2 linked regions of the Xenopus tropicalis genome follow. The protein of the gene in region 1 interacts with the protein of each later gene in a pairwise test. Links are inferred from orthologs where the notes say so. Each region holds a gene or a part of one and is shown in the gene's direction. Other genes may lie near its edges.

The links. The genes of interacting proteins can lie anywhere in the genome.
Region 2: the proteins of rpia (region 1) and pcmt1 interact in binary tests that used the Homo sapiens proteins (3 or more experiments, as listed by UniProt). The two-hybrid records come from large-scale screens. The link is inferred for Xenopus tropicalis from reciprocal best matches to the Homo sapiens genes RPIA and PCMT1.

Annotation. Positions count from the first base shown.
Region 1 is NC_030677.2:9,418,644-9,422,302, forward strand, and holds part of rpia (ribose-5-phosphate isomerase), read left to right. Parts: intron 1-2,238; coding exon 2,239-2,294; intron 2,295-3,526; coding exon 3,527-3,586; intron 3,587-3,659. UniProt on the Homo sapiens protein: Catalyzes the reversible conversion of ribose-5-phosphate to ribulose 5-phosphate and participates in the first step of the non-oxidative branch of the pentose phosphate pathway.
Region 2 is NC_030681.2:64,029,943-64,033,601, forward strand, and holds part of pcmt1 (protein-L-isoaspartate(D-aspartate) O-methyltransferase), read left to right. Parts: intron 1-225; coding exon 226-257; intron 258-1,924; coding exon 1,925-2,029; intron 2,030-3,659. UniProt on the Homo sapiens protein: Initiates the repair of damaged proteins by catalyzing methyl esterification of L-isoaspartyl and D-aspartyl residues produced by spontaneous isomerization and racemization of L-aspartyl and L-asparaginyl residues in aging peptides and proteins.

The DNA of each region.
Region 1 (3,659 bases):
TGACTATCCAGTCTAAACAGTCAGATTCCCACAGACATTCAAGGACTTTGGCTCCCACTATCATAGAACATTCAGTACAAGCGCCTGTTACTGGCAACACTGGGCTGCAGAGATGAACTGAGGTTAACATGGCCGAGAGTCTGGGGGGCTTTGATGGTGGGTTGTGCCCAGATTCCCTGGAAAGCAGAGGGTTAATATTTTATATAGCATAGTGTGCAGTACACAAATAGAGATACAGAGAAATAATGAGAATAAATACAGAGAAGTACTAGGAGTTTCTATAACAGGTAGGAATGGGGGCCCTGTCCCAAAGAGCTTGCAATCTATGAACAGCCCATGTCTTCTGGGGTGGGTTTCCACTAAATGCTGAAACATTGTTGGTGGATTTGCTTCCATTCAGATGTAAGAGGTTGGACCCTGGTGTTGAGGATCAGGCCTGGGGCTCAGAAGGGGGTTCTGATTCATCCCAGAGGGGGTTCTGATTCATCCCACGGGGGGTTCTGATTCTTCCCACGGGGGGTTCTGATTCATCCCAGAGGGGGTTCTGATTCATCCCACGGGGGGTTCTGATTCTTCCCACGGGGGGTTCTGATTCATCCCAGAGGGGGTTCTGATTCATCCCACGGGGGGTTCTGATTCTTCCCACGGGGGGTTCTGATTCATCCCACTGGGGGTTCTGATTCATCCCACGGGGGGTTCTGATTCATCCCACGGGGGGTTCTGATTCATCCCACGGGGGGTTCTGATTCATCCCACGGGGGGTTCTGATTCATCCCACGGGGGGTTCTGATTCATCCCACTGGGGGTTCTGATTCATCCCACTGGGGGTTCTGATTCATCCCACGGGGGGTTCTGATTCATCCCACGGGGGGTTCTGATTCTTCCCACGGGGGGTTCTGATTCATCCCACGGGGGGTTCTGATTCATCCCACTGGGGGTTCTGATTCATCCCACTGGGGGTTCTGATTCATCCCACGGGGGGTTCTGATTCATCCCACTGGGGGTTCTGATTCATCCCACTGGGGGTTCTGATTCATCCCACGGGGGGTTCTGATTCATCCCACGGGGGGTTCTGATTCATCCCACGGGGGGTTCTGATTCATCCCACGGGGGGTTCTGATTCATCCCACGGGGGGTTCTGATTCATCCCACTGGGGGTTCTGATTCATCCCACTGGGGGTTCTGATTCATCCCACGGGGGTTCTGATTCATCCCACGGGGGGTTCTGATTCATCCCACGGGGGGTTCTGATTCATCCCACGGGGGGTTCTGATTCATCCCACGGGGGGTTCTGATTCATCCCACGGGGGGTTCTGATTCATCCCACGGGGGGTTCTGATTCATCCCACGGGGGGTTCTGATTCATCCCACGGGGGGTTCTGATTCATCCCACGGGGGGTTCTGATTCATCCCACGGGGGGTTCTGATTCATCCCACGGGGGGTTCTGATTCATCCCACTGGGGGTTCTGATTCATCCCACTGGGGGTTCTGATTCATCCCACGGGGGGTTCTGATTCATTCCACTGGGGGTTCTGATTCATCCCACTGGGGGTTCCGTTGGGTTGAGGAACAGGCCAATAATAGTTCTTCCACTCCCATCTCGCCAAACCCATTCTGTTTGGACCTGGCTCTGTACATGGCGGCTCTGTACATGTGCTGATTCAGGGAAAGCCCCCCCCCCAAACTACAAAGTAGGAAACACAGAATGTCAGAGTATAACTGTATGGGTAACTGTGCAATTGTTAGTAAACTACATTTCCCATCAGCCCATCCTGAATGTTGGAAGATTTATAGGGTTAATCTACTCATCCTATAAAAAACCCAGTTTTAATCCCTGTCTATATAAAAATGGGACTGAACGTGCATGTATTATATATCTACCCATAATATATAAACCCCCATATGTAATAAAAGGCACCATGTTTGCCCAGGAGCAGTAATCCATAGCAACCAATAAGATGTTTGCTTTTAAACAGATGTAAATGCTACCTGCTGATTGGTTGCTATGGGTTACTGAGCAAACTTAATACCTTTTATTACATAAACCTGAAAGTCTAATATATAATATAGCAGTCCCTCGGCAATATAATTGCACTCATACCTGCAGTCCCTGCCCATTACTTCATGATTGTCCCACTGGCAGAACCATTGCGGGTCATTGTAAAGATCCAATAATGAAGCCTTATTCTCTGTACTACCTGTATAATTGCGCTAATATTCTTATTTTTCTCTCCCAGCGGAACGGGTGAAGCAGGAAAATCTGAATATCGTGTGTGTCCCGACGTCTTTCCAGGCAAGAATCGCATTCTTATTTCAGTTGTGGTATAAACCAGGCTCTTTTCTCTTCTGATGTTGTGGGTCAGACTTACAGGTCCAGTAATACCAGTAAATGAACTGGTTCTCTATGACTGGATATGTACTGTAACCCCACACTGTGTGATATGGGCTGCTTGCTTCAGGCACTGCTACTGTAAATAACAGTACCTGTACTTGATCCCAACTAAGATATAATTACCCCTTATTGGGGCAGAACAGTCCTATTGGGTTTATTTAATGGTTAAATGATTCCCTTTTCTCTGTAATAATAAAACAGTACCTGTACTTGATCCCAACTAAGATATAATTACCCCTTATTGGGGCAGAACAGTCCTATTGGGTTTATTTCATGGTTAAATGATTCCCTTTTCTCTGTAATAATAAAACAGTACCTATACTTGATCCCAACTAAGATATAATTACCCCTTATTGGGGCAGAACAGCCCTATTGGGTTTATTTAATGGTTAAATGATTCCCTTTTCTCTGTAATAATAAAACAGTACCTGTACTTGATCCCAACTAAGATATAATTACCCCTTATTGGGGGCAGAACAGCCCTATTGGGTTTATTTAATGGTTAAATGATTCCCTTTTCTCTGTAATAATAAAACAGTACCTGTACTTGATCCCAACTAAGATATAATTACCCCTTATTGGGGCAGAACAGCCCTATTGGGTTTATTTCATGGTTAAATGATTCCCTTTTCTCTGTAATAATAAAACAGTACCTATACTTGATCCCAACTAAGATATAATTACCCCTTATTGGGGCAGAACAGCCCTATTGGGTTTATTTAATGGTTAAATGATTCCCTTTTCTCTGTAATAATAAAACAGTACCTGTACTTGATCCCAACTAAGATATAATTACCCCTTATTGGGGCAGAACAGCCCTATTGGGTTTATTTCATGGTTAAATGATTCCCTTTTCTCTGTAATAATAAAACAGTACCTATACTTGATCCCAACTAAGATATAATTACCCCTTATTGGGGCAGAACAGCCCTATTGGGTTTATTTAATGGTTAAATGATTCCCTTTTCTCTGTAATAATAAAACAGTACCTGTACTTGATCCCAACTAAGATATAATTACCCCTTATTGGGGCAGAACAGCCCTATTGGGTTTATTTCATGGTTAAATGATTCCCTTTTCTCTGTAATAATAGTTTGAGCAATAGGATTCCATTATATCTGTGTCTCCCACAGGCCCGGCAGCTGATCCTGCAGAACGGATTAGTTCTGAGCGACTTGGACAGACACCCTGAGGTACGTTACTGCCCCCTATACCCACCTACATGTGCCTTTATTATAAAGAAAACTAAAACACTTGGGCTACAAA
Region 2 (3,659 bases), on another chromosome or scaffold:
CTATTTAACCCTTTTGAATGCTCATTAGCATATGCTAATTAGGATTCGGATTCATTTTGGCAGGGACCGTGGATTCGACGGAAACCGAATCGTTAAAAAAAAAAAAAGACTGGATTCGGCCCGAATCCCAAACTGAATTTGGGATTTGGTGCATCCCTAAAAAAGTGCTTTATAGTTTTGGGCCATTATAGTAATATTATAAAATAATGTGGTTTTTTTTTCCAGGTTATCAAGCAACCATTAGTGCACCACATATGGTAAGATTTATGTAAGATGTAAATCTGTGTACTTATAATGTAATAAATATACCTTTTTAAGAAACAATAAACAGTTAATTTATAATTTCCTGCAAAGTTATGAAACATTTATAAAACCTAAATATAGAACCTTTATTCTGATTATTAAGACCTTTACCTTATGGTCTTATTTTCAGATATGGTGGCCATCATGCAGTTGCATAGACATAACAATTGTACCATTTCAGTAACATCTAGACATATGTTTATTATTGTAACTGAACTGGACCTATCAAAGTCTATTGCTCATTAACGTAGTTTATTAAACTCCAAATCTGCACCTAAAATTGAGAGCCAGTGGTTTTATTTTGACCTACTAAGGACAGTCTTCTACAGCTTGTAGGTACTTTTTTCAAACATTTTTTTTATTTTACCACATTCTATGTAGTGTTACGTTCTTTTAATTTTATATGGTAACTTGTATCATGTAGCTGTCATTTATTGCTATTAACATGTTACCTTAACTGACTCAATTACATGAATAATAATTTCCTCTTTGTCTTATATGAAGCTTTTTATTGGACAGCTTTGTTTAGTAAATCCATATTTAATCTATAGCACATTAGATAACTTTTTTTTTACCAGGAAGCTATTTAATGAAGAGTTCAACGTATAATTTGGAACACTCAAGCATGCTGTGTTAAATAAGAAAAAAGGTTTAGGACTTCTCTACCTGAGAATTAGCCCATGAGCCAGCAGCTATCTGCACGTCTTTTAAGGGTCCAGGCGGTGTATGACACAAGAGGTATACCTACCATTTGGGATTCTGGCTAGATAAAGTACTGGTTGGGTTTGAACATAAGTCCTGTCCCAGATGAAGGCATTCACATCTCCCTGCCATCTGTTTGCCCAGTTGGTGTTACCAGTGATTTATATATCCCCTGTATAAGCCCAAACACTATAAAAAAAAAAAAAAAAAAAGACAAGCAGTGAGTTGCTAATAAAGTGACAAACACTTGTGTGTCAGAGCACTTAAAAGCACCTATTACACCTGTAATGTTGCCCGGACTCTGGTTGGGGAAAACAATAGTTTTTAAAAAGAAATATTCCCTCAGCCAGTGCTGGGCTACCCACACTGGGTGGAAGCTCCCAGTTCGGGCAGCCATCTTGGTTGGCGCGCATGTGCATAATAAGCAACTCTCTTATTATGAACATGCGCCTGAAGTAGGAGTGATGAATTCGTCACCTTCCCATGTCACACACATGAGCATAATGAGCGAGTTGCGGCACTCGGTCATTATTTGCATGCTTGTGCACCAACATGGCTGCCTGCACCGGGGTGTGTCTCCCGGTGCAGGTAGCCCAGCGCTGGCAGGGTCAGTTTTTTTTTTGTTTTTTTTTTTAAAAACAAACTTGTTTTCCCTATCTGGAGTGTGGAAAACATTAAAGGGGTGATAGGTGCCCTTTAAGAATACTGCATCCTGTTGCTTTCATTTTAAAAGTACCATTGTATTGTCTTATTTTTGTTGCTATATTCGTGCACAAATGCTTATTTCTCTGTTATAAATTACTGGTATTATTACTTTATCTCTTATAGTATTCACAGATGATTATTTCCCTCTAATGCCTTTTTGGGTGTACAGTATAAGTAAGCACAGTGGGTTTACAATCTTTTATGTTTCCTTTAGCATGCATATGCACTAGAACTTCTTCATGATCAGTTACATGAAGGTGCCAAAGCTCTTGATGTAGGATCTGGAAGTGGAATTCTTACTGCATGTTTTTCTAGAATGGTAAGACCTTTTAAAGTAAAAAGTACTTAAGTCTTTTGATGGTTGTGGTTCATTGGTTCACTGCTGGGTTGTTGTTTTAATATTTACAATTATCATACAGTTTAAAAACATGACTCATGTAGTGTGAGTTGTATTTGAACAACAGGTGTTACGTAAACCAGGGTTTAGTTACATTCAAATTAACTTTTAGTAAGTTATAGAATGGACAATTCTTAGCAACTTTCTAATTGTTTTTCATATTTTATAGTACCATAGTAAGTTAGGTTGAAAAAAGACATACATCCATCAAGTTCAACCTTATTGCCTATATATAACCTACCTAACTGCTAGTTGATCCAGAGGAAGGCAAAAACCCCATCTGAAGCCTCTCTAATTTTCCGCATAGGGGAAAAACTTCCTTTTTGACTCCAAGATTGAAATCGGACCAGTCCCTGGATCAACTTGTACTAAGAGCTACCTCCCATAACCCTGTATTCCCTCACTTGCTAAAAAGCCATCCAGCCTCTTCTTAAAGCTATATAATGTATCAGCCAGTACGGCTGATTCGGGGAGGGAATTCCACAACTTCACAGCTCTCACAGTAAAAAAAAAAACCTTTCTGAATATTTAAATGGAACCTCCCTTCTTCAAAACGGAGTGGGTGCCCTTGTGTCGGTTGGAAGGACCTACTGGTAAATAAAGCATTAGAGAGGTTATTATACAGTATGATCCCCTTATATATTTCTACATAGTTATTATGTCACCTCTTCTCCAGTGTAAACAAACCGAGCTTGGCCAGTCTTTCTTCATAACTGATACATTCCATACCCTTCACCAGCTTAGTTGACTCTCTCTAATTCAATAATGTCCCGTTTGAGCACTGGAGACCACAACCGAACAGCATATTCTAGATGGGGCCTTACCAGCGCTCTGTAAAGGGGAAGAATAACACACTCCTCCCATGAATCTATGCCCCTTTTAATACAGATCAAAAATCAGTGTCTGTTGACCCTACAAGTTTCCAATTTCACTGCAAGTACTTTATGTAAATAGATAGGAAACCAAGAAGGATTAGCAACTATACATACACACAATGTACATTCCTATTTCCAAAAAATTTGGGGCACTGTGTAAAAAAAATAAATAAATACAGAATGCACTGATTTGCAAATCATGTATACCCTATTTTAAATTAAAAATAGAACAAAGACAACATATCAAATGTTGAAACTATATATGCTCATTTGAACATGCTTTAAAAAAGTTGGGACAGGGACAACAAAAGTCTGAAAAAGTTGTTTACTGCTTAAAAGAGCTTCCCAGAGGCTGGGTCTCTCAGAAGCAAAGGAGTCGGGTACACCATTCAGTGAAACACTGCCTCACATTTCCTCAACATAAAAATACAAATTTGGGGATTTCATTATCTACAGTACATAGTATTCAAAGATTCAGAGATTTCAGAGAAATTTCTTTATGCAGGGGACAAGGCAGAAAGCTAAAACTGGATGTCCATGATCTTCTGGCTTGTTAGATGGCACTGCATTAAAAACACTGGAAATCAGTGCATGCTACTTACTGTATCCACCAAGTTAAAACTTTACCATGTCAAAACAAAACATAAATAAACATGATCAAGAAGCATCTCGGACCT